Linked DNA regions of Drosophila melanogaster. The protein of the gene in region 1 interacts with the protein of each later gene in a pairwise test. Each region holds a gene or a part of one and is shown in the gene's direction. Other genes may lie near its edges.

Region 1 (16,731 bases):
TTTGCCTTGTGGTGTCTAAACTTTGAGGCCATAAAAAATAGAGAATAAAGGATAATAAGTCAAGGTTTTATTTTCTCTTCCACAGTCTTCATTTTATATGGATAAATATATTCTTATAAAATATTACATTTTATTCATGGCTCTTGTAAAGAGTAAAGTATTTGCTGCGGAATTATTTTTATGCAGACACCAATAAAATTTTAATTAATAAAGTGAAAACGCTTTAGTCAAGTGGCTCGAATATCAGATACCTGATGTTCAGATAGACAATTTAATCAATTCATTTGCGTAAATATTCATTAATCGTGTGGCAATAACACGGATTGCTTCACTAGTAATTAGCATACTACTGATATTATAAAATCGAAATTTAAAACCGTCAAATGTAATAAAACTATATAAATTTGTAGTGTTTTTTTTAGCTGGATTTAAATCAAACCGAAAATATTACATTGACTATGATTTTTTTTGGCTAAGTGGCTAGAAATCGATTGTTGCATTGGCTGCTTTGGTATTCAATCCTGTCAATCCAATCTTGATGCAAACAAGTAGCTGTCAACTCTGGGAGTAACAAATATAATGAACTTAATCTAGATTATATGGCAAATTGGATAACCCTTGCTTAATGTAATTAAAAATAAAAGCCCATAGGGTAGCAAATAATATAGTGGGAAACAACAAGGTTGCAAAAGCTCGGAAATATATAAACTGCTGACCATATAATTGCCAACTTAGCTCGTAAAAGCTGTTTAAACGGAAATTTGGTTACTGCTGCGTACAGCGTTTTATTTATAATTAAAAGTAAAATTCAGAAATTCTTTTTTAATGTGCAAACAAATTACAAACTTAAAAATAATCATTTGTAGATTAAAAGTGTGTTCTAAAAGCATGTTAAAGGTAAAAAGATCATATTAAAGTCGAGATCTTGGTAACTTTAAAAGCAAGAATGCGTAGTTTAGAAATGCATATTCTATCGGTTGCAGTGCAAGTTTGCTCTAACACCAACAAACCACCAAAAACTGTCACGAACATACTTTTGAAAAATGTTTGGATATATTTTTCTATTTCATTATTTGTTATGCGAATTGCGCTTACCGCGAAAATGTGTCACGACCACACAGTGTGTTGCTTTATTTTATTTTATTTTAATTATTGCCAATTTCGAAATGGCAAAAGAATTTGGTAAAATCGAGTATCTAGTAATCGATAATAGACTCTTTCATTAAGGAACATTAGTGATACAAACTTGTATGTCAAGCAGAACCTATTAAAATTGTTTAAATTGTTTAAAACTGCACTGCTTTTTCTGAAAAAATTATATGAATTGCATTTGGTTGAAACATTTTCTAACAATTGTCTATTGAGCAGAGATTTTGTAGCCCATAGGGCTTTAAATTTGTTTTTTTCGACCAACAGCTTTCAGTTCGAATTTCATCGCTAATTGGAGATGCAGTCATTATTTTTGACGGCTTACTCCTGTTGCACCAAATATTGTGATGTAAGCCTTGAATGCGGTGTAGAGCATCAGTGAGTCCTTATGAAAGAGGTGGACTTTTAGTCGCTGACTAAAAAATAAGGAATTAAACAAATAGCAGCAAGCGCTTTCAACATTTTATTTTGCTGAGAAACGAATATCTAATCTTTAAGGTAATTTTAATTAATGCAGTTTAAAATGCTCACTAGTCCCACAAACTAAAACCGCTTTTACCCCCTTTGAGCCTTTAAAGCCACAACTAATCCCTTCTTGGGATAATTAATTATTGCACCTATTTGTAAGCGCTTTAATTTATTGCTATAGTGATTTACGATTGCACAACTTAAGTTTGGCTAACGGCCAAAGTCTTTATACAAAAATGATATTTAAGGGTTTCACTAAAATGTACCTTATGGTGTTTTGAGTATTATTAAAAAATATATATATATTTTTTGTAAAACAATTACTGTTTTGTTGTGAATGGCGCCTACATTTTGTGCTTCACTTGGAGAAACTTTTGCGCCAGAAACCTTAAATTTGATTCGACGTCCTTCAAGTTTGGGTTAGCATATTCATGGTTAAATTCCCGACAAAACTTATTCACTCCCTTACGTCAAACGTGTGGGCCATAAAAAAAAGTGCGGTTGCATATGGGATAAGCACGGTCCATATCCAACGATATGAGCACACTTTTACGATCCGGACCGGCAATTTATTTCACTTGGCTAGGCTTGGAGTGCTCGGCGTTAGGACGATTCTCATTTTGGCCGGTGCAGCTATCTAAAATGCATTTATGGCGCGACTACGCAAATATGTAATATCAGCAGGGCTTTAACCTTGCCATTGACATTGGCATTGACTTTAAGCCAGCGGATCGATGGTGGGGCCTATCGCCAGATAACAATATTGCATCTCGTTTAAGTGCTCCACCAAGAACAGAAGCATTTTTTTCCACGAATCGAGGGCTGAGCAAACACTTGGGCATCTTGGGCATCTTTGGCATCTGCGGCATCTTGTGCATCGGAATGAGATTCAGCTGGGAGCGATAACTTTGTCCTATGACTTGGTAATCCACTTGTTATCAAATTGTCCTCGTAGCCAATTGCGGGGAAAAGGCGAATGACCAAAAAAACAAAAAAAAAACTTCTGCAACACGATAAGTCGCCGGGCTAAAGAGACTTTACTTTAGTTGAGTTACACAACTTTAGTTAAGCTCTGCAGCTGCCACCAAAAATGCGGCAAAACTTTTGTGCACTTCAAAACGGAAATCCCCTTTTGGCCAAAACTAAAACAAGCATGATAGACAGCTGTAGCCAAATTGCTCGACTATCAGATACCCGCTATTTAGCTGATGGGAGTGCGATTGAGAAATGTCAAACATTTCTTGTCATATGAATAGAATTTAGTAAGTGAAATAAGGAATGGAAAACAACTTGAAACAACGGGAAATTTATCAATCTAAATAAATGCGTAAATTTAAAATGTATAAAAGGACTTTAGAGGGTCGGAATCGTTTCCCATTCCCTTTACATACTTTATAACGGGTAACGGGCTTATAATAGTTTTTAATACTTGAATGTAATTCACACCATGCCTTTTAATATAGTATGTATGTACCTATGTACTTATTTACTAAAACAAGATTCCTCTAATTCAATTATTAGAATATTCGCCCTATTCATTCCTATTCAAGTAAGGTTTTTTTTGTGACTATAAATTTAAGGCCACAGTAACATGGTTATAAATTAATAATTTCTGATACTTAAGGAAGACAAACCACGATTTCTGATAAATAAAGTTAATAAAAGGACTACAGAATTAAAAGCTTAGCTTTCTTTGCCAAATGCTCTTTTAGTCGCTGGCTAAGTAATGTTTATTTCAATTGAAAAGTTTATGGGAAAAAAGAAAGACTTTAAAGTGTAACTAAAGTTTATTCGACCGTATCTCTGCTGGATTTTTCTTTTCAATAAAAAACTTACTGATATATCAAAGTAGTTGAAAAAAGATCATTGCCGAGCAAAAAACTTTGTTACTCCGTACAGGGAAAGTATTCCAATTCGTTCAACCCACATAAATGTTGTTTAAGTTGAGTGAAATTTGATTTCGCATTTTCAGGAGAACACCTCAAAAGTCAGCTAAACAAAGAACACGAATTTAAATCATTAGAATTTGGTTTTTGTTTAACTTATATTTCGAATGGGATTTATTTGGACATTTCAGTTAGTTAAGGTAGTCAGGTAGAGTTGGAGTGCTCGGAACTTCAGAATTGGGCCACAAAGGTGTTCGGGTCAATCAAAGTGGCCACCTCCCAGGGGTGAACAACTGAAGGACCCGGAATCCGATTGTAAGCGTCTGAAAAAAGCAAAAAAAAAAAGAAGAAAAACACGGGGTCAATCCGGTAACAGTTCACGGAAACTATTGTCCCAACTCACCGATTATCTTCTGGATGGCCGTCCGGGCATCCAGGATCTGTGTGGGCGGGGCGGGAGCGGGGGCGGCGCTGACAAGGACCAGACAGATGGTAACGAAGGCGATGGCGGCGACAAGGATTCTCGACATTCTGGGGCTTTGGTTCGGTATTCTGGAGCTTGGATGGTAATCTAATTGAAATAGCTGCGACCGCAGCTATTTATACTCGAAGAAACCGGGATGATGAAAGAAAGCCAGCATAGCGATTTGGCGATGAGCTTCTTGTTTCGAAGCAGCTGTTTGGAAATTGGATTTCTTGTTTTGAATGCGATGCCAACCAATTTCTTTGGCGCTACTTAATCCGGGGAATGTCCGCACTCGAAGATGGCAAACAAGTTTCGGAAAGAACAAACGATTTGAGTTGGGAATTTTTGAACACCTTGCAGGAAAGCATAACAATGCAAAATGCTTTTCGAACATTTAATGCAAATGTATAATCTTTTTGAATGCTAATAGTTTGGCTAAAGGTTGCGCTTATGAACTTCAAAAGTTGAATTTTCAATGAATTGGCTTGTAGAAAGCAACCATTTATACATGAAATCAATTTCATAGTCTTTCAATTTGGTTACTTTATTATCCTTAAACAGATTTTAAGAATGTAATTGAGTTTATTAAACATTTCCTTGCTTTCTTTCTTGTAAATGCATAGACATAAGCATATTATTTAACCCAAAAATCCATTTAATTGTAAATATAAATATTGTAATTAAATTAATAATTAAATAATTAAATTTAATTGTAAATATATACTCATAAACATATTATTTTACCCAAACAATATTCTTGTCGATACAATCGTCTTATCATCGTATTTCGCTTATTATATAAATGGGTATTGAATATTCTATACATAAGAGATTATAAAATTCTTTTTGAATATTCTTGCCGTAACACAAATGTTTTGCATATGACAGTTCATTGTACGAATGTGTGACTAAAAAAAAAAATCTCTGTTTATGTTTTGTTTTGCTATCTTTTATTTCATTTGTTATGCCTCAGATGCTTTGGGCATTTCCAACTACCTCAAAAAAAATGCCGGCCACATGAAAGATACAAATAGGAGAAGAATCTTTTGCTTATTTGTCGCCATTTGGCAGCGGATTTTTGCTGTTGATTTATACAAACAAACCGGTTCGCTTAATTTGCCGCTTGGACGCAGGCCAATCGAAAGTAAAATTTGTCGGTATTTTGTTCGTTTCATAAATTATTTCAGCTTGGGAATTCCTTCTTAGCATGGCGGCAAATTAACAAAAAAAAAATTAAATAAATTGCCGCAAATTGTATGCAAAATTCTTTAGGCAGACGCGCGCTCTGCCAATGTCTATGGAAATTGATTGGATTTGAAATTCGAACGCAGAGCGGAGGTGAAATTGTGTCTCTAAGTTCGGTAATCAGTTCAAGACGTGTATTGCCTAAAGCAGACGTTAAATGTTAAAGAGAACACGTGTCCTTCCAACAAGATTGCCACAAGGAGCGTATTTAGATACACATGTATTCTGATAAACCCGTGTTTGGCCAAAAGGAAATTGAAGTACGCCGCCCGACAATCACCAATTGTTCACGGAAATGTGTACCTTTTGTACGGACGGCTAATGAGGCAGCCGTAAAGCCTCTTATCGCCCCATTTATTGGCCTGTCCGGATCCGCAAATAATCATGATCTATGGCATCGAGTTCATATTAATAATAGCGTTGAGTCCGCTACTTAGTTATACTCATATTTTGTATATTTGCCAGCGATTTTTTATCTACACTTCTCTAGGCGCTTCATTTGGGTCGTGCGCAAATCAGGCTCCCTTATTCATGGTTATACATATATAGGTTGCCATATTAGCTTTGTGTGCTTAAAACTGGGAAAATGCGAGAAAAGCACGGCCAACGAGTGAAAATGGATAAGTGAAATGGATAAGTAAACGAGCAGCAGCACCCATCCCCCTTAGGGCATTTTTAAATTATATGTTAATAAATAAGTATTTTTCTTCATGGACTTCCTCTCACGGGATATACAAATGCTGATGCTGATGCCTACGCACCATGCTATAATTTAACATTGTTTGCATTATCCCAAGGCAGCCAAACGGTGCGTATGCTTAATATGCGAACGGATTAAGCCAAACCCCAAATGTTGAAGTGAAAGCACGACAGCCAAGTCATATAATCTGCAGCATCACAATGAGATAAATGTGATATTAATTATGAGAGTCATTAGCAAAATGCTTTGAAATTCGGAAGAAAAAATATTATTCTTCTTGGCCATGGAAAGCAAAACGATAGTAAAGTCCTTCGCTAATACGATACCATCTTAACATAATTAGGGAATCCTGTTTTGCGTAATTAATGCGTTGTAGCTTTTACCTTCCACATTAGATTCAAACTGCCAAGAAAATCCATTCTCTTTCATTAGGAGGCGCAAGTACATGTACATGCAACTGATTTTGATACATCGACGACTGTGTCAGTAATAATCATTGATGCATTAATATTGGGTTTCTTCCAAGAAGAACAATTTCCCTACGAATTTAAGAAAATTTTTAAAGCTTATATATACATATAATATATAATCACAGTGTGTGTGTGTGCACAAGTCGATATGCGTGTGCAAATTAGATTTACTGGCATGTCAGATACGTGCCCATATTGATGGATCAGCTGCCTCTCAGCTGCCAGGTGGAAATCCCATTGTGGAAAAGTTAATTTTTATGTTCAAAGTTTTCCACCTGCCATCTAGTTAATAAACTTTCCGGGGGGAAACCTTCAGCATATATATAATTGGCAGTCTTCACATACATACATACTCGTTTTCGTTTGGATGCAAATTGAAGTGTAGCCTAATATTTGCACTAAATAACCGACGTATTTTAATTTCCTTAACTATTCGAGCACTTAATTCAGGTTATGAGTTTAAATGGAAAATTAAAAGCATCTGGTTGAAAAGCATCCGGGTGAAAATTAAAGATGGGGTGGGTGCAACTCATTAAATTAAGTTGTGCAAAACATCAAGTGGTAAAATAAATCTCATCTAAAATATAAAATAAATCTCGTTAGAACTCATTCCCGTGGGTAAAAGATAGTTATTTGTACAAACATGCAATGTCAATGTTTAATTTTTTGAATATGAAATAAGATTAATTAGACTGATAGTTAATATAAAATGATAATTAAAATAGGCTTTTTTTCCGCGGAGTGATTGCCATTATATTATGTAACTGAACATTGGTTGTGCTGGCGGCATCTTTTCGTAATTGTCGTGTAACAGGTGAAAGGAATGTGGCTGCTGAAAAACACTCAATAGATAATTAAATGCTTATAATATGAGTTCGTTCTAATTATCACCACAATTAGAATGTATTCTATTATATGTTTTTGATGTGCCCTTTAATGTGCGCACGTGAACGCCAGTGGGTAGGTTGAAATCCATTCAAATCCTCGACGGGTTCAGGAATACATATAATATATATGTATGTACATATATATAGGCTTAAGCCTTCCCAAGGAGCATATGCTGCCTGTTTGTCTTTTGTGCATAATTAATCACTGAGTGACGCCGCCGGGAGTTGAATTGTGTTGTGCTGACATGGCCATGCTTTTTTATCACTGCCACAGTCTCCTGGCCGCTAAATTTATCTCTTTTCTAGGAGTCGCCTTCGCGTCCCTGTCCTTGCAACATCCGGCAACATAAGCGATTCCCTGCGAGTGGGTGGACGTGAAGGCGACCAGGAGGTGAAAAGCTCTAGCCGGTAAAACGATGTTAATGTCAAGTAGATCTCGGAGCACGTCTTGCTGCGATAATTGTTGGCGTAAATCATGTCGAAGAGCAACAGAATTACGTCCCAGACAGACACATACTATCCTTGTGGGCATATTGTACACGAAGAAATCAATGTGTCATACTCACACTTTTATCTTTAGCCCGAGGGTACTTCACATTAAAAGAGTGATTTCGATCAACTTTAAAAAGTAACTATAGAATAAAATTCTTATTGTTGGATCTGAAATTAAAGCAAGCGAAAAAATAATAATAATACAGCCAAAAAGATGCTCTAAAACAAAGAAATAAGTAAAGGACAGACAGAAAGATTTCATTAGTCCGAAATTTGTCATTAACTTATTACGTTTTAATTACTCAACTTATCACTTGATTGATTACTCAACTTATCACTTGATCTATTTGATAGAAGTATTTCAAGTTACTGCAACATTTTCTCGCAGTGTAGTGTCTGCGCTAATGGATTGTGTCCTTCGCAAAGTTCGGGCATTTCCGCGGACATTTCTCTTTGCGGCCACAGGACGTAATTGAAATAAATATTTTTCTGTAGTGTTCCCTTCAGAGCGGTGGAATATTTTTGAAGAGCCACTTTATTGAAATTTGTTTGCTTATTTGCATTTCTTGTACTGGGAATTGATTGAAATTGAAGAATGTAAACTCAAGTAATACGGGGTATTTGCCAACATTTAAGGCATGGAATTCTAAAAGCCAGATTAAGTGTTGTGGCAAAAGGAAAAACAAAGTGTTGCATGGTTGATGCTGGTTCATGTAAGAGGCATTACTCAAATTAATGCGCACAGCAGCGGGTGAAAAATTATGCAAATCACGTAATTTTTATTTCGCCGTGTTGAAAAGTCAAGACGACATGCTTTTTGTTTCAAACGGCTGCTTTTAAGGGGGGTGGCCTATGTATTGTGCCCACTTTTATTGCAAACACGCGCGTAGGTTTCCCTTTTGCAGACAGAAGGTGCATGTATTACTGACACTTTGCGCCTTCTCCTAAACTTTATTTCGGTTTTATTGTTTTAAGCTTTCGTTTTGGGCTGCTGAATTATGTTATTTGCGAGCATTCTTTAAATAACGAATTTCCTTTACTTTTCAAATTACGCGCCCGCTGTGCAACCCTGCGCACGTTATCGATTGCCAGTGGGCATGCGCACAACTATCGATTACCGATGACAAACAGCTGTGTACCTATACTTATCCAATATGGCTGCAAGTAAAAAAAATTGTAACGCTGTGAAAAAACTGCAATTTGAATTGCATTTTCCGCTTGAGTATTAGATAGAAAAGTGCGAGAAATGTGAATTTGTGCAAACGAAAGTGGAACACTATCCGAAAATCAAGTGCGCGCCAAGAAATCGAAGCGAAAAAGTGAATATCGAAAAAGTCGCCGGTGCCCCGCCAAAAAAAAGAAGACTCCCCCACTCCACTTGAAAACATTTCTCTGCGGAAATAAGGAAAATACTGCGAAAATGGAAGCCGACATAACGCCCCTGGCGGAAACCAACGGAGAGCAGCGCCAAAATCCCCAGGAAAGTGCTCAAAACCAAGAGCAACCGCAACCGCGGCAGGATTTGGCGGGCAAGTCGGTGGGTTCCGCTGATGATGGCGTCTCCGGAACTGTGGGACAGATTATGGATTACCTCGAGGTGCGCCCGGCTTTAAAAGACTTGGAAAAGCTTGTGAAACTCATACATATATATATATATATGTTTGTTTATTTTTATTTATATTATAGGACGATGCCGGTGCAACTGCCGACCAGGACGCGGAGATGGGCGAGGCAGAGTATCTGGATGGCGAGATGCCGCAGGAGGATGAGAGCGAGACTCCGCAAACGGAGAAAGCCAATGAAGGTTGCCAGGAATCAAGCAATAAGAAGGATTTGCAAGAATCTGCAGCTAAAGATGATTTTTCCAAGGAAAAAAGTGGAGAGGATGGTGAAAAAGACACCGACAAGGAGAAGAAGGCAACTCATTTACATGAAGATAACAACGATGATGCCGAAAAGGATGGCGACGAGGCCGACGCAGAGGATGAAGACGATGTAGAGAAGCCAGAAGATGAGGATGGCACCGAAGAAGGCGACGAGGCCATTGAAGAAGATGAGGACGCTCTCGATGAAGATGAGGATCCCAACGAAGAAGTCGAGGAAATTGAACCAGATTTCGAGACTGGCACCGATGCAGAAGGTGAACTAATCACTGGCGATGAGCCGGGCGATCTGGCCGATGTGCCCATTAGGGAGCGCAAGAAAGAGGAACCCGTGGACGAAGACCAGTGCCGCGTTTGCACCAGCAAGGAAGAGCTAGTCTGCCTGTTTAAGAAGCAAATCGATGCCACGCCCGCGGACATGCTGCTGGTCATCTGTCCTAATGTCTCGATTTTGCCCAAGGACTTTATGCCGCAATTCATATGCACCAAGTGCATGGGCAGCCTTACCATTGCCATACAGCTGAGAAAGCAGCTGGAGACCACGGACCAGGAGCTGCGCAAGCGTTTGTCCCGAAGCAAGAATAAAGTGCGAAGACCCCGCGGCTATGTGGTCATAGACGCACCTGTCACCGATTCCAGTGAGGATGAGGATGAGCTCGATGATGAGTTCAAGGTATCCGATGTAGCCGGAACCACGAGTGCCGACAGCGATTCTGCCGATTCGGATGACAGTGAGAAGGAGAAAAAGAAGCCCGGACCACGTGGGCGTCCTCGAAAAAAGCCACTCAAGAGAGGCACGGACAGCGATGGGGAGCCTTCCAGCGCCCAAAAGAAGAAATACCAGCCCTCTTCGACGGCTTCAGTGGGCCCATTCGAGTGTCCCAACTGCGACTTGACGTTCTCGCGCAAACAATCCTATGTGCTGCATCGTAAGACTCACGAGAGAATAGAGCATGCCTGTCCCATCTGCGGCAAGAAGTTCAAGGTGGAGTGGGCCTATAAAACGCACATGCAACGGCACGAGCAGGAGCGCGCCCATTTCCGCTGCGAGCTGTGCCCCAAGATATTCCGACTGCGCGCGGAACTGAAGCACCATATGGCCCAGCGACACGACGAGCATGGCTTCATTTACGAGTGCAAGCGCTGCCAGCGGACGTTCCTCACCCAGCAGCGACTGCAGCGTCACCAGGCCGTCGGTTGTCAGCGGCACAAGGAGGATAGCGTTCGCATCAAGGAGGAGCAGTCGCGGTTCAAGCAGGAGTCGCGCAGCAAGGACGACCGCCATCATGGCAACAACAGCAGCAAACGCCGTCCCGGCGAAGGACGGGATCTTTTCAAGGCTGTGGCCCCACCAACAACCACCTATTGGAGCGATAGCTTCTCGGACTAAAAAAACCAAGGTGCGGCGGCTTGCGGATTTCAATTCAATAATTTCTAATGAACGATTTTAAGTTTCTCTAGCTGTAGGAAGAATTCAGTGCAAATAAATCACATTTGTAATAAATACAAAATAACACTAGTGGAAGTTTTGAGTACATGTAAACTTCTCAAGCTAAGTAAGTAAGCGAAAAGGCAAAATAAAAAGTTCGATTAATGGCAGATTGGAAAATATTGACTTAGACGCTAAGATTTTCATTTGTTCCTAAGGACACCATTAGATTATAAATACTTCAAACATATAAGATTCGCTGTTAAAATAAACACTATGTTTGGAATAAGTGCGTCGTAACTTACATGGAGTGCGCTGCTCCTCAGTGACCCACAATGCTTTCCTTTTGAACCCCTTTTAATTGGATCCCAAAGCGTTTGCTCGCCAAATGGCAGCACTTAGTGCCGCCGAGCTAAAGAACAACCAACTGCAGTTCTGCACAATCTTGGCCATAATGTGGCGTTCTAATGTTTATAATTTCGCTTGTGGAGCATAACTAGGAGTGTTTAACTACTGGGGATTACTTTGGACCCAAGCTGGGGGTCTTTAGTGTAGACTTGCAGCATATATGTGCATAAGCGGAGCACTAAGTGTGGTTACTCACAACTTTCAGATCCGTGTACAATTCTTATCAGGTATTTCAGAAAGGTTTGGTAAGAAAAATGCTGTAGTACTTCAAGCAACTAATTTGGACCACAAAATTTGCACTTTTCCAAGAAAGTTTTACTCATGGCCGGAAGGAAAACGAACTGAGTTGCAACGTTTTAGTTATAATTTTAAACTGTAAGCCAATAAACTAAGTTATTTGTGTAAGCCTAATTTGTAAGCCGTAATTTATGCAAAATTGTTAAGCTTTTCTTTTGGGTTTCTGTGGGAAGTTTTGTTGTGATTGCAGTGAGTTTTTAGGGCTAAATTTAAAACTCTTTAAATTGAATTGAAGACACACGTTTGACTTTAACATTTATTTACATAGCAATCGGGAATTGTTTGGGCAGGAAATCTGATGCACGTGCGAATGTTTCGGCAATGCTGCTGCACTACAAAGGTGTCTAATTGATCCGCCGCTCCGTGTGCGTGCCTAATTAGAAGTGGTGGATGGAGTGGTAGGTGGGCAGGTGATAGGACACCGAAGACACCGGATGGTGGGCAATCAGCGGGGCATGGGCGATGAGTGGGGCATGCGATATGATTGGGGCATGATGCACCAGCGTGGGTGCAGCTATGTAGTGCGAGTGGGTGACCAAGGGGGCATGGTAGCCGAGCCCCAATGATATGCCGCGCTTTGCCTTGACAGAGGACTCCTCCTGCTGCTCCTCGGCGGCGGGAGCAGGTGCGGCCAGGATGCAGGCCAAACTGGCGATGAGCAGCAGCAGCTGTGCCGTTTCCAAGCAATTTTCATTGGTATTTAACGATGAAAAGCGGGAAAAAATGACGGATTATTAGAAATTCTTAAGAAAATATCATATAATTTTCGCAATTATCTTCTTCGCTCTGACGATAGCTTACAGTGAATTTCATGTTGTTGGTATATTTAGGATTTATGTGTAACTCGACTTGAAACTGTTCGCACACCACTGGCTTTAATTGAACTAACGACGCTGGCAGCCAGAACCTGGTTATTTATACCATTCGGATTGTTCTCAAAACTCACTCAAAACTAAGTCAAACGCACTCATTAGGCGAAAACTATTTAGGCCCAAAAATAAAGTAAAATTCGCACAAGACACGCATCGAGAAAAATATGCCCACATCAAGCCAAAATTGCACAAACAAGCCAAGCGACTCAAGAAATATGTACATATGTATGTATGTAGATAGATGTGTGTGCCTGTGCGTATCCATCCGAGTGGGGCCGAATGTATCTGAGTATCTGAGTATCCGACGGATCGCCACATCGCCAGTCCACATAAATTGTTTTTTAATTCAGCAAATTATTTGGAGTACTCACTTTGAGTGCCAATAGGCGCCTCAATTTATTAGCCGCTGCTGTGGTCAATGTGTTCATCTCTAATACTAAATGCCAAAGCCATTAATAACAATAATTTCTATCTGGCAGATACTTGTCAGCAATTGTCGCAGTGTCTGAGTATGTGAGTTATGAACACTCCATTCGAAGCTAATCTATTGTACAATCAAATGGAATGGTGCATTTCAAAGCTAAAAGCTATTAGCTGTGTACCAAAGGTAATGGCCAAGGATATTTGTTGCCTGTTCAAAAATGGCAAAAATAACAAAATTTCATATTAAGTATTAAGTATTGTATAAATATTGTGGCGTATACAAACAGGCAGGTATTTTGTCCTTTCTGAAATGTAATAGAAAGTTAGACAAGGCTGTGCAAATAAGACTACCAACCAAAGGATTAAATAAATTAGCCAAGGGCACGAATTTCATTATGCCTTGAAATGAATTGACATAACCGAAAACAATTTCGCATTGGCCTGCCGGCGACAACAAAAAATTGATTGACACTGTTTGGCCGGGCTAATTGAAAAAGACACTTTAAGTTACAACTAAATTCTAATTCACTAAATTCTCAGCTGATATGAAGCGCTTTAGTGGTAGTTAAAGCACTTAACGACCTCAATAATTGGACCCTCTGGTGGGCCAGAAGTGATGGGGGAGCTAAGCTGTGGCATCGTTGAATCAATTGGCCCAGCGGGGATTATGTGGCCAGAGCTGTATGTGATAAGGGTGTTTCTCTCTCTCTCTCTCTCTCTTTTGCTCTCTCACGTTATCTTATACTTCCGGCGGAAATGTGGCAATAAAAAATGAGGAAAGCGAACTTATACAGCTGTGTGCACTCAGAAAAAGTGCTCTCCTAATCCCCTTACAATCGGTTTATAAAAGTTAAGTGTATTGTTGAAGATAAGTGAATATAACATATTTTTCGTTTACAATTTTGTTTAAATTTCTTTTTAAGATTACTTGTACCACTTTGCTTTCTTAATAAAGTGGTAAATTCCACTTTCCTTCATTTCCTTCCTTGCATTAGGGCTACATTTTAGGTTAGTTTTTTTTTGAGTGCATTTGACTAGCGAAATGTTAATTAACGGCCCCTCAAATGGCGGAAAATGAGGAAAGAGACCTGCAAAGGACGGCCTGGTGTGCTACTGCTGTTTATCTGCAGCTGTCAGTTGGTGGTGTTAATTTTTTGTTAGTCCTTTGCGGGAACTTGGGCGTATCCTTTGTGGGTGCGCCACCTGTTCAGACATGTTGCTCAAGGCCACGCGCTAGTGAATAGGAGGCGACTTAAGGAACTTGCCGACAGTGAGAGGCACAAAGATAATTTCTTTTTAAAACTGAAATGTCTTTACGCTTTATTTGTGAGCCACGAATTGAATTAAGGCTGTTCTTTGGAATGGGGATGGGCGATAAGTTGTAAGGGGTTTTAAATTGTCAACACCATTTGTGCATAGGAACAGACAAACGAACTTGTTGACAAATAAGAATATTTACCATATAAACAAATCAAGATCTGTCCATATGACATAGAGATCTCGGAAATTATATGAAACTGTAACTAGATGGCCATCATGGAAATAGTCTCTTTCCCACTTGCATATCTATTCGATAGTCGAGGTTTCTTCTAATTTCCCACAAAAATTGTTTCCTTCTGTAAAACTCCCGGAAATTAATAATTGCCTATGTTCCTTTCAATATTGCCTCCCGAAATGTCCCTTTGATAACAAACGCCATTTGCAGAAAAATGCTTTCAGAAGGGCAGTCGAAACACCGAAATGGTCCAAATGAAATGAGTTTTTTTTTGGAACCGATTTCATTTTGATTGAATGTGTGTGGCAATAACTAATAATTGCCCGTAACGCAACGGCTGTAAACGTTTGACGAAAACGAAAGGCCAATCGATCAACATCAAATGGTCGACAGACATTGGATTGACTGGCAGTTAGTTTCAGTTCAATGGTACACACTACATTGGACAATTTTGAGTTACCTAAATATGCATATTGAACGAGGCAATGCAATGCGATTGAGGTCCGGCTGTGCGTTTCAGTTGCGAAATGAGTTGCGAACAGGATTTATATTCAGATTTAGCCATTAGCCAAATGCAACACCTTCGACGACGTGTGGACACGTCGACTTTGATTCGGCCAACTGAGTGATCCGGGGTAGTAGTGTCAGATGCCAACATTACTTATGCACTGAAAGAAATAAATAAAGGATTTACATGTGTAGTAATGTATAATTGGGCTGCATGACATGCATGATAATGATCAACTTTCAAGCAATAATAATTCTATGACATCACGACATTCATACGGACAGAAAGACGAACATGGATTTACCATTAAAATGTAATTATAATATAATATAATAAAGTATCTAAAGAATTTTTTACTTGGATCTCCTAGCAATTTTAACCATATTCTCAAATGCAAAATGTGAAGTTCTTGCAAATAGATACACAGACTAATGGGTCCGCATTTGCCAATTAATTGCCTACAACGCCCAGGTTGCTTTGAATCACAGGTGGACATTTGGACAGGTTTGCTCAGCTCACTGGCAGCTCCACTTTGGCCATTCAAAATTGTTTATCGCTTTGACGAGTTGCAGTAGCAATTTCGACACCGTATGCCCATAATGAAGAAACGGCATTGATAATAACAAAGTAATGATAAATTAGATGCTGTTGACGTCTAATTCATTTTTGATGATAGTATTGATTTTATACATAAATGACACAATTTCCCTTTTATTTTGTAAAACATTATGGCATTTTCACTTTAATGGTCCTGTAAAACACAAGTTAGTTGTAAAGCACAGAAAAACTTTCCATTTCGATGACAAGAAGTCCTTTAAAATTCAAATAAATATATAATTCTAATTCTAAATAAATAATTCTAAGCAATGGTTTATGTATTTAAACTCCTTAAATTTTGTTCCAGTTTTTAACTAGCACATATACATCAAAAGAGCGGAACTAGATAGTCTACAATGATGCAAGAGACCGGCAATCAAATGGGACAGACCCATATGCACCAGCGGGTTCCTTTCAACGACACGGTTCTGAAGGACTATCATCTCACGAGCACCGATATCGAGAAGTTTGTAAAGCTATGGCAGGAGTACCAGATGAAGAACATGACCCCTCAGGTGGATGAGTGCCAGGGCTATTGCCAGGGGGAAATATACAACTGGTTGCGAGCCTACAACAGCATCCATGGATACGTTTCGCTGATGGTAAGTAATACTCGTGATTACAACTCCCCCTGGGCACGAAACCCGCAATGTTGGCCAAAACAAAGGAATCGGTTGACTAATGATGAGCAAGGGAAGCCAAGACGATACACACAGACCTTCGCCGACAGACCACTGATGAATGTAGGGGACTTCTTTACCTTTGAACTCTTGCCAAAGTCGTCCTTTTTTCGAATTAAAGTTATAGCATGCGCTCAGCTTAACCATCAAAATCACAAATGAAATTAGTGGCCGGGAATCTCGGTCTTTTGTTTATGTCCGGGTTTCCCTTTTCAGGGCTTTTTTGAAAAGGATATAAATTATATTAGATGTAGTTAAGCCGTTGAGGCGTTAATGTGCTTTTTTCATTATAATTTTCAGTCGTAAGTCATTTTGCGTTGTAGCAGACGGCCTTTACCACAGGAATTGGGTCAGAAAATACCGAGAATCCATTTCC
Region 2 (16,937 bases), on another chromosome or scaffold:
TCCATTTTAAGATACATTAGTTCCCTGCGACTTCTTATCCAGAACATAGTGCTTACAATAAACGGAACGGAGCGAATTACGCGAATGCTGGAGAAGTGTTACTGGGTGGGTGGGTGGTGTAGCTTGATGCCCGCCCCCTCGCCGGGCAATCAAATCCAATTGACAACACAAAGTAGCAACTAATATGGTTAAGCAGCGGGAATACTGATGTATGGGGTTGGCGACTGCCACGCCCTGCGCATGTCCTGCCGCCCAAGTGGGCGGGCGGAAGCGGGTGGGATTGGATTGAATCGGGGTGGATGGAAATGCACTTAACAATGGCAAAATAATTGCGGGTTTTCAGACAGCCATTTTAGTGAGACACCCATTGTCAAGTGCGGAATAGAGTGAGGAGGTAAAAGTTAAATGTTTCAAATTGATTGGTAATTACGGGTTAGCAGGAATGCTCTCGAAAAAATATTAATAGTTTACCCGATTAAGAATGAGTCTTGGAGGGAATGGAGTTCCATATGCTTATATACATGTAGATACCTTTGCAGTCATCAAAACTCATGGATCTATTTGTTGAGAGAAGTTATCATTTTTAGTTTCATACTTTGGACTGTTAAGACTTTTCTTGACGTCAACGAAGCATATTCCAATTCTATTCTGGCGATTAAATGGCATATGTACATATGCTTGTTAATAATATGTATTTTTTTATATAAATTTCGAGTGTGTATTGAGTTATGCTCAACTTGGTAAACATGCGAATTAATAATATTCGGAATAATATACAACCTAAGGTCGAAGCAATGACAAGTCGCAGTCGCTTTAGCCACTTGTATTTTCCCAGTGAATACAGAAACTAATAAGTAGTACTCTTGGGCTTATCTTGCTATTGATAAGCTCAATGTGAAATAAACTGCTAGAGACGAGCCTCCCTCGATTTTAAGAGGTTGGCAATAAAAATCACAATAAATGTTTTGATTTTAGACTCTTAGTTAGTATAACTCGTATTCTCATGGACCATTTCACATCATACTTATTGTTTAAAATGTTCTCACAGTGAAGCATTTAACGATGGCATTTTCATCGGTAAGCCTGACCACTCTCCTCCGCTCTTCATATGTGGCTCCCTCTTAGTTTTGGAGCCATATGTCTGCAGCTTATGCTCCCCATCTGGACTTGGACTCTCTTCCACTCCGCTCTCTCTTCTATATACATTTTCCGTGTGTATGCTATTTACGTGCTATCAGTTGCCGTTGAAAACAAAACAAAATGTAGGAGAAGGGATGAGAAAGCCGACCATTCTATTCACTAACTTTTATTGCCGATAACTTAAATAATAGTTCAGTTAGATCATACGAATGATAAACAAATGGAAATACTGAATTTTTATAAAACATTAAAAGAATCTTCTTATATTATATATCAAGTATATTCTTCTATAATACTTTATGATTTCTTCAACTTTAATTAATAATCTATAATAGCTTAGTTATACTCTTATTAGGAATATACATCCCTAATTTTATTTATAAATGTTTAGGTAACAGTGAATATATGTACAGTACCATATACGATCCTCATTAGGATCATCAGATATTATTATTCCTTATTTCCCATTGTTATGCTCCAAGCAACTGAACCAAGTGCATATACCCTCTGATAGGGCGTGGCCGGCAGTGACGTTTCGCTGGCTTTTCTCCACCGTCGTCGTGGACGTGGACTAAAGCCAAAATTAGTCTCTTTAGATCAGCCGTCGACCGCGGTTCGTTGTTTGTTTGCCAGAGTTTGTCGATTTGTTGTAAGTGAAAGTGCATCTCTTGGGTTCTCGGGGAAGCTCCACAAATGTTTGAGGTCAATGGCGGCGTTAAGGACACGTCTGAAAGTCATTTAGATCTCCCACTGCTATGGAAGATTAATAGAGATATACGTATACTTTTCTATAGATATTATGTTTACTTATACTCTATGCGTTCATATATACTCAGTTAATCGGGTTCTACGCGGAGACGTTCCAAAAATAAATAAGGGGGCACGTGTCGATGTATCAGATCTGCCGGCAGAAATATTATTTTGTGGTTCTATATATTTTTCCATAACACATTTGTACGATTTTTTTTTTGTAGAGCAAACAGGTTATCAGCCAGTCAAATACAAAATAACAACCAGACACCACAACCACACAAACAAAAACATGCATAATCAGAGTGACAAGTTTTTGATAGTGATTTTTTATGCAACAAGCCCCCGAAAAAACCACTAGAGACAGAACGAGGTCACCGATTTGACCTTCCGATAGGGGAGCACAACCCCCTCCCTTCTACTAAGTTCTACTAAATTGGTAATTGTTTCCACCTTAATGGATCCCCACAGGAACCGCACCATTTACAGAGCGTACTGCAACTACATACATATAACCAATAATGGCGGCCAGTAGCGGTGATTGTAAGTGAAGTAGCCTGCTTCCTGCTTCCTGCCTCCTGCTCCTCCAATGTTGCCCAGCTCCTTTTGCCCCAATGTGCTTTCCTTATGGCCCACCCATATCTATACTATGCCCGCCTGCACTGCCCAAACTTGTTCCACTGACCAGAAATATTTTTAACCAGTTGCTCCAAAATAAAACCCCGCTTCAGTTGTACAGCAGTTGTACATTTAATCCATCCTAAATCCTTTCCACTGCCTATATATGTTATGTATTACTTAGCTCGTTGTCTTTATTTTCTTACAAAGTAATATTACTAATATTTAATCGATTTATTCCAATCCTATGCTAATCCTCTCCCAATCATATCCAGTAAAATTTAAAATCTTGTTTTATACTACAGTATAATTCGCTTAGCTGCATCGATAGTTAGCTGCATCGGCAAGATATCTGCATTATTTTTCCATTTTTTTGTGTAAATAGAAAATAGAAAATAGAAAAAAAAAAAATTAAGTTAGCTGCATTTTTAAGTTACCTGCATCGAGGCATTGTGCAAAGTACTCGAGGCAGCTAAGCGAATTATACTGTACAACTAAATTTTTTTGCATATAAAATAGCCAAAATGACCCAACAGAGGCCAGCTTTCGACTCCAATGCGATGACGCTGACGCGTTTCGTGCTGCAGGAGCAGCGAAAGTTCAAGAGCGCCACTGGCGATCTCTCCCAGCTGCTCAACTCCATCCAGACCGCCATCAAGGCTACATCATCCGCGGTGCGGAAGGCAGGTATCGCCAAGCTCCATGGATTCGCTGGCGACGTGAATGTCCAAGGCGAGGAGGTCAAGAAACTGGACGTGCTCTCCAACGAGCTGTTCATCAACATGCTGAAGTCATCCTATACCACATGTCTAATGGTTTCCGAGGAGAACGAGAATGTGATCGAGGTGGAAGTGGAGAAACAGGTAGGGATATATTAGAGTCTTTAAGCCTTAATACGTGACCAATTGTTACGAAATTTGGTATGAGGGTGTGAATTAGCTTTTAGCTGTCAGTTAAGATGGCTCTATCTCTAAGATCTAACCCTATATCTTCTAGCCACATTTAATGACGTTTCCCTATAATTTATTCGCTCTTCCACCTCCAGGGCAAATACATCGTGTGCTTCGATCCCTTGGATGGATCCTCCAACATAGACTGCCTGGTGTCGATCGGTTCAATCTTCGCCATTTACCGCAAGAAAAGCGATGGTCCGCCCACAGTGGAGGATGCACTGCAGCCCGGAAATCAGCTGGTGGCCGCCGGCTACGCGCTATACGGTTCGGCCACAGCAATTGTCCTGGGTCTGGGTTCGGGAGTGAATGGCTTCACTTATGACCCGGCCATCGGAGAGTTCGTGCTGACCGATCCCAACATGCGGGTGCCGGAGAAGGGAAAGATATACTCTATCAACGAGGGATATGCAGCGGATTGGGAGGATGGTGTCTTCAACTACATTGCGGCCAAGAAGGATCCCGCCAAGGGAAAGCCCTATGGAGCGCGGTACGTGGGTTCCATGGTCGCGGATGTGCATCGCACCATTAAATACGGCGGCATCTTTATCTATCCGGCAACAAAGTCCGCTCCCAGCGGAAAACTTCGTCTGCTGTACGAGTGCGTGCCCATGGCCTATCTGATGATCCAGGCTGGAGGTCTGGCCAGCGACGGAAAGATCAGCATTTTGGACATTGTGCCCAAGAAGATCCACGAGCGCAGTCCCATATTCCTAGGATCCAAGTCCGACGTGGAGGAGGCACTTAGCTACTTAAAGTGATTGTTGTGACTACAGTAACGTATCAATAAAGATCAATTATATTTTTTACTAAGAAATGCAAGTCCTTCAGCCGTTCTGCCCAAAGACTTATGCTCAAAAAAATTGACAAAACCATTTCTAATTGGCCTGAATAATTCTCAACTAGTTCTAGCTGCATTCCAGAGTGGCTTAACCTCTGGTAGTTCCTCCATTGGAGGAACTGATTTCTGAAATCAGACGGAGTGCTAGGTGCTTACTCCGCCTGTGGCCCGGTATTACAGTGCCGGCGGGATTTCGGCCCAATTAAATAATACATTTTAAAGCTAGAGGAGAGAAGATTGGTGTTGCAACCATTGAACAACTGGTATTTGTTCATCTTATAGTAAGCAAGAATTGGACAAGTCAAGTATTATGGAAACATATTTTTGAGTTGTTTAGGTACCAGCGAAGAGATTACTATACATCCATTCCAATCGTGAGATTAACGAATTAAAAGAATGGCTTAACATATATACATATGTAATATGTACTTATATAACATATATATATATGTTTAAGATTAACGAATTAAAAGAATGGCTTAACATATATACATATGTAATATATACTTATATAACATATATATATCTATATATATATGTTATATTATTATATCTTAAACAAGCTGTTCATTTCATTTAAATTATAAATTTAATTATGTCAGACTACGCATAAATTCAAAAATACAAATTTACACACGAAAGAAACCTAGAAGGCATTCGCCTTGTGCTTGGGTACAAAGGTGAAGCCTTCGGGCACTCGACCCAGCAGCGATTCACTAAGCTTTACCCAGTCAGCTGCGTTGCCGGAACTCATAAGGGTCTCCATTTCGTCGCGTCCGCGGTACTTTTGCGGTCGAGCGTTGATCTTTTGCGGCGGTGCGGTCTGCAAAGCCTCGGGTATGTATCGGTACAAGAAGGACTGCCATTCGAGGAGGAATCGGCGAGTGGTCTCCACGCCCTTGGTGTCTGAGCCCCAGTGCTCCAGTCCGTAGTTGCAGAACTTTTGCAACATCTCGTAGCGTTGCCCGGACGATGGGGACCAGGCCTGTTTCTCCTTTATCTCTTGGAATATCCAGGGCTTTATTAACGCGCCGCGTCCAATCATTACGGAGCAAACGTGAGGCGCCAGCGTCCTTCGCTCCATGTAATCCTCGTAGCTGAGTATGTCGCCATTGCCGATCACCGGCATGCACTTTGCCTTGGCGGCACACTCCTCGATGTAAGCCCAGTTGGCGTGTTTAGTGTAGCGCTGCTCCCTGGATCGCCCGTGCAGGGTCACCGCCGAGGCACCCCACTCTTCAACAAGCGGAAGAAGTTCGTGCGCTACGCTCTTGTCTGCATAGATGCCGGTGCGCATCTTCACGGTGAAGGGCAGGCGGTCCGACAGGGCTGCACAACTCCGCACTGTCAGCTCCAAGATATTGGTTCGTCGCATCAGCGCACTGCCACCGCCTTGCTGGTAGATCAGATCTATCGGGCAGCCAATATTAAGATCAATGAAGTCCACCTGGGCCGTCTCATGAATAACCTGCGCCGCCTGGTTGAGCATGTTGGGATTATTTCCGCATAGCTGGACTCCAAAGACATCTTCGCTCTGGTGTCGCTTGGTCAGGGCCCACTCCTGGCCCATACCCTTCAGGAGAGGCTGAGCGCAGGCCATCTCGCCACAGGTGATGTCTGCACCGAATTCCTTGCAGATCCGGCGGAAAGGCAAATTGCCCAACGTGGTCAGTGGCGACAACACGAGTTTCTCGCGGAAATCCACGGCGGGCTTATGGTCAGCATCTCTGCCGATAGCGGAATCATCAATTGCACAACCAGTGGCAGTTGGTTTACTCTTAGTATCCGTCTGTTTTTCTGCATCTAATATCTCGGTGGTTTCACTAGGTTGTTTTTCTCCAGTCTCTTCAGACGGATTCTTTTCCTTCTCCTGTTGTTCCTTTAGTTTTCGGGCATCCCTCAGCTTTTCAGCCATTTTAATAAGCTCCTTGCTCCGACTGAAGTCATATTCATGTTTTCGTAGACGCACTTGGAGTTCTGAAAAGGGGTTCAATTAATGAGTTTATCAAGGTACTTTAGTATCAGTTAGCTGATAGGTGCAGAAGAATTGCCCACCTGAACTGACGCCATTGCATGTGGTTGGAGGAGCATTTTCATCGTAGTCCTCCCTTTTGAGGTTCCTGCCCTGTTCATCAGTGTGGGCCTTTGCAAAGCGACAACTCACACCGCGGGCACAGTAGCCCTTGGTGGTGTACACATAACATTCAGGGCCCAAATCTTCTCCCTTGGCGGCCAAGTAGGCGTCCAGGTCGTGGACATAGCGACAGTTGGCCAGGGAACAAGGTTCTCCACCGGTTCCATCGATCAGCGAGTGGCACAGATGCGAGTACCGCTCGTCCTTGAAAACTGGGCGGTTCTAAAAATACGATATTTTGTATAGTATCTATATTATATATTATTGACGAACCTTGTTCTGTCCGCGTTTGCGTTCCTTTTTATCCCATTTCTTTTTTTCACCGGCTTCCACTTCTCCACCGTCCTCGCGTTTTCTTTTGTTTGTGTCGCTGTTTTCGGTGTTAGCTGCAGCACTGCCGCCATCGGCTTCAGTTACCAGGTATCTAAAAGGTATAAAGAGTGAATTGAATTAACCAAATATTCGCCATTAAGCTTACTTACTCTGGTTTGATGTAGCAAATACCGGAATCCATTTCACAATAAACAATCGCACGTGTTGGTATGCGTCTTCTTCTACCTTGTTTTTGTCAATCAGCTGCTTGTGATGATTTATCGATAGAAGAAAAGATATTGGTCGCGTTCAGCATAACTGTGAATTGAATGGATTTCACTGGTTATTAACTAATAAATACTAAAATTAATCCACGACTTACGTGGCAATGATGAGGTCTCCTCCACCCTTAAATTGGTAATTTAGAAGTTTTTGCCCGAGCTAAATTAGATGACACCGATTTATTTCCCTCCGTGGTCACAGTGAATCAGTCACTTTTTGCAGGTCTGCTCATCGCTATTGTATAATGCCGCCTGCGCGATGGTGCAAATCTTTAAATTCCTGTTAAAATCCAGCAAATCTGTGAGAACATTACTATTATACCTAAATCAAAAGTAATATCAAAAGGTTTTAATGCCCAGACCGGTCGTGCCCACTTCCGGCCCACTTTTCTGGACACACTGCGCCTAGCGGTTCGTGGAGGACATGGTGGAAATGGACTGCCCAAATACGGAGGAGTTGGTGGCCAAGGCGGTTGCGTCTACTTGGTGGCAAAGGAAGGACTCACCCTTCGCAAGGTCGTCCAGGGATTGAAGGATAAGCGAGTGGCAGCATCCAGTGGCGAGGACAGTAGCAAAGCCAGCATCTTTGGACGCCGTGGAGCTGACCAGAGGATCGAGGTGCCTGTGGGCGTCCAGGTATATGACGACCAACAAAAACTCATCGCCGACCTCGACGAGCACGAGGCGACATGCATTGTGGCGGGCGGAGGTACTGGCGGATGCACGGCCACAAATTTTCTGGGACGTCCCGGGGAGAATCGCACTGTAAATCTGGACCTAAAGCTAATAGCAGATGTGGGTCTCGTGGGATTCCCCAACGCTGGCAAAAGCACCCTTCTTAAGGCCGTGTCCAATGCCAAACCAAAAATTGCAGCTTATCCCTGTGAGTTATTGCTAGATCAAGTTGGTATTTAATCATTAACTAACAACTCCTACCTCAGTTACCACCATCCGACCCCAGATTGGAACCATCGAGTACAGGGACCTGCGCTCCATCACAGTTGCCGATCTTCCCGGTCTGATCGAGGGCGCCCACGCGAACTTCGGCATGGGTCACAAGTTCCTGAAGCACATCGAACGCACCCGCCTGCTGGTCTTCATGGTGGATATATTCGGCTTCCAGCTGAGTCCCAAACATCCGCATCGCGACTGCTTGGCCAATGTGTATGCGCTCAACAAAGAGTTGGAGCTCTACGATCCATCGCTGCTGGAGAAGCCCAGTGTCCTGCTGCTGAACAAAATGGACAAGGAGGGTGCCCACGAGATCTTTACCAAAGTTAAGCCGCTCGTCAGCGATTTGGCCAGCGGACTTGAACAGTGCCCCGAGGAACTGCGTCCGAAACAGGTGCTCAATTTCGACAGCATTGTCCCCATATCGGCCATGAACTCGTCGAAGATCACGCAAGTGAAATCCCAGCTAAGGAGGACCCTGGTGCGGCTGGCTGAGAAGCAGTTCCTGGCGGACGAGGATCAGGTCAAGGAGAAGCTAAGACAGCGCGTTGGGGTGGTGGGTCCAAAAATTACCTAGTTGTTATTGCAAATAGTTTTGTGAGCGGCTTAAGAAATTAAATTAAATTTGTAGCAGCGGAAATGTACTGCAAACTGACTTCTTATTCTTAAATTAGTTTTTCTACAAAATACGAAAGGCAGTAAGACAAGAAGAATACTTCTTATAAAGCATCCTGTGTGTTTAATTCTTTGTCGGAAATCAATTTGAAAACTTTACCAAGAACTGAAATTAAAAATTGTTTCTAACTTTGTTACTGCAGTAAGTGAGTAAGATTCGATAGAACAAAGTGTAAGTCCTTGGGTAGAATCCTTTGAATTGAATTCGATTTCGAAAGCTTTCCATGCGATGGAAAAGCTCCCACACCGATAGAACTGCTATCGATAGCTGGTCACTGTGGCCCCACCGCTAAGTGCGCTCCACAAACAGTTTGTTGTTGTGTCTCGCTGGACGTTTCGTTCGTCGCGCGTTCGGGAGCGAAATAAAGCGTAAAATGGTCAAAACCCTTCGCCCGCTTCGAGCCAATATTAAGTGCAATTGCCGAGCTGTTGCAGAGTGCCATGTGTGAGTTGCCGCGGCAGTTGGAAAATGCGAAATCTAAAGGACAATAGCAACAATGCCAGTTCGATACATACACACAGACGGGGGCCGATGAAAAACTGGTATATAAAAGACGCCAAAAGCTTGCGAAAAAGAGAGCTAACGCGCCCCTAACTTGGCCGCAGGATAACATACCACAAGGCGAACCGAAAGCAGGCGACACTTACCAGTGGGCAGCATAAACACAGGCAGCACCGCGTCCGTGATGTCACAACAACACCCCCATCACGCCCACCCCCACCACTACGCCCACCACTACCCGCCCCCCGTGACGCCCATGTCCCTGCAGCAGCAACAGCAGCAGCAGCAGCATCAGCAGGCGCAGCTGTCGCCTCAGCAGCAGCAGCAGCAGCACGCCAATTGGTACTCACATGTTGCTTCCTACCCCACACCACACTCGGCCTTCGGCCCCGCCCCCGCCCCCTCTTGCAAGGCCGCCAACAACAGTGGCAGCGGCAACAACAACAACAACATCATGGGCGGCGGGGGATACGGGCCAGGAGGTGGTGGCGCGCAGGGCTATTATGGCGCCGCTGGCGGTGGCCTCAATGTCAGTGGGGCGGTGGTGGGTGGTGGTGGGCCGAACTACGGCCTTGGGGCCAACACAGTGGCATATGCCCACAACCAACTGCTGCAGTATCAACAACAACAACAACAGCAGCAACAACAACAGCAGCAGCAGCAACAACAGCACCAGCACCAGCATCTTCCACAGCACATAAGCCAACAAAGACCCTATATGGGCCACAATATCATGACCGGCAGCTATCCCTATATCAAAAGCGAACCCATGGAGGCCTACCAGCAGCCCCCGAATCCCATGGCTCCGCCCCCGGCACCAGAAGTATTAATAAAATGTAAGTTCCCGAAAATGAGTATCTAGTACGATTAATATTAGTTAGTAATCATATTTAAAGTTTACTACCGGGTATACTTCCTTGAAGCGGTTTTACAGTGGGTTGGGTTTTTGTGTATACTTAAAGAGATTCCCAGAGAACCAGGAGACGAAAGTAGCTATTATAAAAATGAGAGTAATTCTTTTAATTACTATGCAAATTAAAGCACACAAGCGCGAAATAATGTAAATTTATGGCAACTGAAACACTAAATTTTGCATAGCTGCCGATTCAGATTAAAGACCAAATATGTTGATTTATTAAGCCCCTTGAATGGGGAAGTAAAAATATTCAAATCTAAAATCCCTTTACGCCGAAGAAAGTCCGAAAAACCTAAACGCAAAATCCGCCTTTGCCATAGAAACAGATACAGAATACACGCATTATATATCAAACTAACTTGGGGCCATTTTCTTATAAGTAGCGTAGTTTCAGCTCCATTTTGGCGTCGAATCAATAAAACGTTTGTTGAGTTTCGCTGAGGTTTGGCGCTTATTTCGTTCGGATGGTTTTCGGATTCGAATTCGGATTCTGATTCGGTTCCACCGCTCGTCAACCTACGGCTCTGTATCTGTATCTTGCTCTGTTCGGTTCCGTACCGTGGCGTACAATTTGGTTCTGTTTGCGCGACTCTCGGTATGTGCGAGATGGTATACGGTTGTCAGTATGTATCCATTTGGCAAATGTGTACTCGGATAGATGCTTTATACTACCGGCGTAACCTATTCAGTTCGATTCGTACGCACACATGTGCATGCATGCACTCGTATGTCCAGTGAGTGTGCATATCATCTCCCTCCTCACATTTTTTGGAACGGGTTGTGGTGGGCCACTGTCTTTCAAGTCGCTTCTTATGTAACTTGCTCCCGTAGACTAACCTACAAATTATTGGTCCCGCCCCGCACTCCCGGTGCCATTTCGATGGGCGTGTGGGCGGGGCTGAATGCAGAGAGACAAAGACAAATATTATTGGGTACGACGCCCAAAACATTGATACCATAGGTAATGATTCTCAGTCTCTCCAACATGTTCGCGTAATCCGGATATCAACATAAGTATCCGGATGCAGAAGGCAAAGTTGCTAATAAATATAAACACTAAGTCGGACATACGAATGAATATTGGTGCTTTTTACTTTTAATTGACCAATCAATGAGTCCAATAGCTATTACTTCAAGAATGATTTTAATATAGTTCAAATGCGAACAGCCTAGTTGGTACCATAAATAATGTAAATAGAAGAAATTTCTGCTTGTCTGCAGAGCACTCGGTTATCTATCAATTTTATGTAGGGGCAGTTAATTCTTATCACCAACCAATGGAGAGTACAAAATACAATTCGGAACCATAGAAACAGCAAACAGTGGATACAGAATTTTCATCTGCGCATAGTTTTAGCATTTCGCGGTTATATAAATCTTTGAATTAATCGCCAGCATTAATAAGTTAGATTATAGACATATTTATTATTCCTTTGAACCAAGTATTATATGTACATTACTTTGGTTTTAAAAGTAAAAAAAATAGTAATCAAATATTTCTTGAACAGCGGAACCCATTGACGAGCATTCCTACAAGTCCAACTATATAGACGACAATACGCCATTTGCTGACTTCAGCAAATTCAGCGAATTCAGCGAGGACATGCTAAGTCCGAAAGTGGAGCTGACCGTAAAGGATGAGTCCTACGGAAGGGTGAGTTTATAATGGTTCCTTGCCGAAACTCACCGTAGTCATAATTTCTATTCTCTAGACCACTAGCAGTTTCCTGCGTCGCAAACAACAATCGGATCGGGGCAATGAAAGTCTGCCCATCTGCCAGCGCTGCAAGGAGGTCTTCTTTAAGAAGCAGGTCTATCTCCGCCATGTGGCCGAGAGCAACTGCGGCATCCAGGAGTACGACTTCAAGTGCAGCACATGTCCCATGTCCTTCATGACCACCGAGGAGCTGCAGCGGCACAAGCTTCACCACCGGGCCGACAGGTTTTTCTGCCACAAATACTGCGGCAAGCACTTCGACACGATCGCTGAGTGCGAGGCGCACGAGTACATGCAGCACGAATACGATAGCTTTGTCTGCAACGTAAGAAGCACATATCATTGGCGTCTTGGAACACTATATCATTGATCGTCCATTTGCAGATGTGCTCCGGCACCTTCGCTACGCGGGAACAACTGTACGCCCACCTGCCGCAGCACAAGTTCCAGCAGCGCTTCGACTGTCCCATCTGCCGCCTATGGTATCAGACGGCTCTAGAGCTTCACGAACATCGTCTGGCTGCTCCATATTTCTGCGGCAAGTACTACACGGGCGGACAGTCATCTTCTGCGTCCCAGTCGCAGGCGCAGCAGCACCAGACCAACTACAAGCTGCAGGACTGTCATATGGCAACCATGGAGAGTAAGTTAGGAAACATAAGTAAACAAAAAAAAAAAAAACACCATTTCTAACGTGCTTTTTCTCTGTGTTTTAGTGCCCACAACCCCGCACCACAAAACCACTCCATCCGGCTCGTCTTTGCCAGCGACGGCTGCACTGAATTCTCTACTGCAGCAGCGTCAGGCAAATGCCGACGGAGCTGCCATGTTCGCAGCATCCGCAATGAAGAACGAAGTGAATGTTAAGATGGAGCGGAGCTACAGCAACTCTACCAGCGAGTCATCCTACAGCGTTCAGGACAGTGGCTACAATAATGCGTATGGAAGCGACAGCTCAATGCACGCAGGAGCGATCGCCGGGCCCCAGGCGCACTCCTCAACGCTGGACGACTCCGAGGACGCCCTGTGCTGCGTTCCTCTGTGTGGCGTGCGCAAGAGCACGAGCCCCACGCTTCAGTTTTTCACGTTCCCCAAGGACGAGAAGTACCTCAATCAGTGGCTGCACAACCTCAAGATGTTTCACATACCCGCCGCCAGCTACGCAAATTTCCGCATCTGTAGCATGCATTTTCCGAAGCGCTGCATTAACCGCTACTCTCTGTGCTACTGGGCCGTTCCCACGTTCAACCTGGGCCATGACGACGTGGCCAATTTATACCAAAACAGGGAACTCACTAACACCTTCACCACCGGCGAGGTAGCGCGCTGCAGCATGCCTCACTGTACAAGTCAGCGGGGTGAGAGCAACTTGAAGTTCTACAACTTTCCCAAGGACATCAAAAGCTTGATCAAGTGGTGCCAGAATGCACGACTTCCCGTTCAGGCGAAGGAGCCGCGTCATTTTTGCAGTCGCCACTTCGAGGAGCGCTGTATTGGCAAGTTCCGTCTGAAGCCGTGGGCGGTGCCTACTTTACACCTAGGTGCCCAATATGGCAAGATCCACGATAACCCAAAGAATTTGTACGTTGAAGAAAAACGCTGCTGCCTCAACTTCTGCCGCCGTAGCCGATCCTCTGACTTCAATATGTCGCTATATCGATTTCCCAGAGATGAAGTTCTCCTGCGACGCTGGTGCTACAATCTCCGCTTGGATCCCGGAGTGTATCGTGGGAAAAATCACAAAATATGCAGCGCCCACTTTATCAAAGAGGCGTTGGGTCTGCGCAAACTATCACCAGGTAAGTTTGAACGGAATTGCTGCGTTTGTAAAGAATATTTAAATGATTTCTTAATGTAGGGGCCGTTCCGACGCTTCATCTGGGTCACACTGATACCTTCAACATCTACGAGAACGAATTGTGGCCACCGCCAACGGCACCCAACAGTCACAGCAGTGGCCTCCAGCACCAGACGCAACAACATTCCTCGCAACACTCACTGCAGCAGCAATTGCATAGCAAATCGTACCACCGGCAATCGGCGGCCTCCACGTCCTCCTCCGCCAGTTCGGCAAACTCTCACTACGTGGATCCTGATCTAAGCGCCTCTTACCTGGGCTTAGGTGCCAGTGGATCTTCTGCAATGAATGCCAGCGACAGCATGGACGTATGTTGTGTGCCCAGTTGTGAGAGCAAGAGGCACAATAATGAGAACATTACATTCCACACCATACCACGTCGACCGGAGCAGATGCGCAAGTGGTGCCATAATCTGAAAATACCCGAAGAAAAGATGCACAAGGGTATGAGGATCTGCAGCCTGCACTTCGAGCCCTATTGCATCGGCGGTTGCATGCGTCCATTTGCGGTGCCTACGCTTAACTTGGGTCACGATGACGACGATATTCATAGAAATCCGGATGTGATCAAGAAGTTAAACATCCGGGAAACGTGCTGCGTCGCCGTGTGCAAACGAAATCGAGACAGGGACCACGCGAATCTGCACCGTTTCCCAAGCAATGTGTCCTTATTGACCAAGTGGTGTGGCAATCTGCAGCGTCCTGTTCCGGATGGAAGTAAACTTTTCAACGACGCCATTTGTGAAGTGCACTTTGAGGAACGATGTCTGCGCAACAAAAGACTAGAGAAGTGGGCAGTGCCGACACTATCGTTAGGCCACGAAAACATCCCATACCCGCTGCCAACGCCGGAACAGGTTACGGAGTTTTACTCTCGACCCACTGCGCCCAATAATGGCGAGGAACAGGGAGAGTGCTGTGTGGAGACGTGCAAGAGAAATCCAAGTGTGGACGACATCAAGCTTTATCGGCCGCCGGAGGAAGCTTCCGTGTTGGCCAAATGGGCGCACAACCTGCAGACGGAGAGCAGTCAACTGACAAGCATGAGGATCTGTAATCTTCACTTTGAGGCACACTGCATCGGCAAGCGGATGAGACCTTGGGCTATTCCAACACTGAATCTGGCAGGCACAATAGAGAATCTCTACGAGAATCCGGAGCATTCGATGCTGTACAAGCGGCGGACTCACATGAAAGCCAAGCAATCGGCTTCCGTGAAGCCCACTTGGGTGCCCAGGTGCTGTCTTCCGCATTGCCGCAAAGTTCGGGCTCTCCACAACGTTCAGCTTTATCGCTTCCCCAAGCTCAATCGCTCCACTCTGGCTAAGTGGGCGCACAATCTGCAGGTTCCTATGGTTGGCAGTGCCCAGCGCCGTCTATGCTCGGCTCATTTCGAGCCGCACGTGCTGAGCAAGAAGTGCCCGGTGCCGCTGGCGGTGCCCACATTGGACTTGAATGCGCCGCCCGGCTTGAAGATTTACCAGAATCCAGCCAAGCTCAAGGCTAGCAAGCTGTGTCTGCAGCGCGTGTGCATTGTCGAGAGTTGTCGCAAGACGCGGGCGCAGGGCGTCCAGCTCTTCCGACTGCCACATAGTCCAACGCAGCTGCGCAAGTGGATGCACAACATCAAAACGCGTCCCAGAGCGGCGATGAGGGCCCAATACCGTGTGTGTTCCCGCCACTTTGAGACACACTCTTTCAATGGCCGGAGACTGAGCGCTGGCGCCATTCCCACCCTGGAACTGGGTCATGACGACGAGGACATCTATCCCAACGAAGCGCAGGCCTTTGCGGACGAGCACTGCGTGGTGGAGGGCTGCGAGGCATCCAAGGAACAGCCTGACGTGCGACTCTTCCGCTTTCCCACAGAGGATGACGATATGCTATGGAAGTGGTGCAACAATCTCAAAATGAACCCGGTGGATTGCACCGGCGTACGCATATGCAATAAACACTTCGAGGCAGATTGCATCGGGCCCAAGCACTTATACAAGTGGGCTATTCCCACCGAGGAACTGGGTCACGACGACGCCGACATCGAGCTAGTGCTAAATCCCAAGCCGGAGGACAGGTATGTGGATCCTGTGTTCAAGTGCATCGTACCGACCTGCGGAAAGACGCGTCGCTTCGACGAAGTCCAGATGAACAGTTTTCCCAAGGACGCGAATCTCTTCGAGCGATGGAAACACAACTTGCGGTTGGAACACCTCAGCTTCCACGAACGCGATCGGTACAAGATATGCAACTCTCACTTTGAGGATATATGTATTGGGAAGACGCGGCTTAACATAGGTTCGATTCCGACTCTAGAATTGGGTCACGACGAGACAGACGATCTGTTCCAGGTAAATCCGGCGGAGCTGCAGAGCAACCTTTTCGGACGACAGCGGCGAGTACACGACGAGTCGGGCGGTATAATCATCAAGCAGGAGTTTTCCGAGTCGGAGGACGTCAAAACGGACGTGTCTGATGCCAAAGATTTCAATACGAGACAGGTAAGTTTTCTATTCTTAGAGGAGCAATAATTAGCCAGTTTAATTCGTATTTTCTTTAAGGTTAAGCTCAGAAAGACTATGTCCGATCTGAAGTGTTGTGTGCGCAGTTGTGGGCGCAGTCGACTGGAGCACGGAGCGCGCCTCTTTCCATTTCCCACCGGCAAGCAGCAGCACCTGAAGTGGCGCCATAACCTGCGCCTGGAACCCGACGAGGTGGACCGATCGACACGGATTTGCAGTGCGCACTTCAATCGGCGCTGCATTGATGGCAAGCAGCTGAGAAGCTGGGCAATGCCCACGCAACAACTGGGCCACCAGGAGCAGCCGATCTACGAGAATCCGAAAAACATACCAGGATTCTTTACGCCCACCTGTGCTCTGAGTCATTGCCGCAAGCGTAGGAGCATTGACAACGATCTCCGCACCTATCGATATCCGAGGAGTGAGGATCTTCTGGAGAAATGGCGGGCGAATCTGCGTCTGGCGCCGGATCAGTGTCGCGGCAGGATATGTGCTGACCATTTTGAGTCACAGGTGCGTGGAAAGTTGAAGCTGAAAACGGGAGCGGTGCCTACTCTAAATCTGGGCCATGATGAGGGCTTAATATACGACAATGAGGCTATAAAGGTGGGCATGACCGAAGAAGAGGAAGGCAGCTCGGAGATGACACGACTGAAACCCAAAAGAGAGCTGATTGATGAAGAGGAAGAAGAACTAGAGGCTGAGGAGGAGCCCCATGAGCACGATATGTACGATGAAGACGAGAAGGACGGCCACTATTTCGATCCTCTCGAACT

What was found.
Region 2: the proteins of CG12391 (region 1) and CG10631 interact in a two-hybrid assay, tested with the Drosophila melanogaster proteins (one large-scale study listed by BioGRID).

What each region holds. Positions count from the first base shown.
Region 1 is NT_033778.4:11,142,230-11,158,960, reverse strand, and holds CG12391 (uncharacterized protein), read left to right. Parts: upstream 1-8,892; 5' UTR 8,893-9,183; coding exon 9,184-9,360; intron 9,361-9,449; coding exon 9,450-11,036; 3' UTR 11,037-11,359; downstream 11,360-16,731. Other genes in the region: CG13230 (uncharacterized protein), read right to left, coding at 3,735-3,826, 3,907-4,033; CG13231 (uncharacterized protein), read right to left, coding at 12,158-12,448, 12,582-12,593; CG13229 (uncharacterized protein), read left to right, coding at 16,032-16,277.
Region 2 is NT_033779.5:19,748,922-19,765,858, reverse strand, and holds the start of CG10631 (uncharacterized protein), read left to right. Parts: upstream 1-8,954; 5' UTR 8,955-9,338; coding exon 9,339-9,990; intron 9,991-11,578; coding exon 11,579-11,724; intron 11,725-11,782; coding exon 11,783-12,112; intron 12,113-12,171; coding exon 12,172-12,430; intron 12,431-12,503; coding exon 12,504-13,586; intron 13,587-13,645; coding exon 13,646-16,140; intron 16,141-16,200; coding exon 16,201-16,937. Other genes in the region: fbp (fructose-1,6-bisphosphatase), read left to right, coding at 2,412-2,433, 3,028-3,371, 3,554-4,219; Dus3 (dihydrouridine synthase 3), read right to left, coding at 4,946-6,276, 6,355-6,655, 6,707-6,857, 6,916-6,947; CG10628 (uncharacterized protein), read left to right, coding at 7,286-7,327, 7,387-7,909, 7,968-8,554.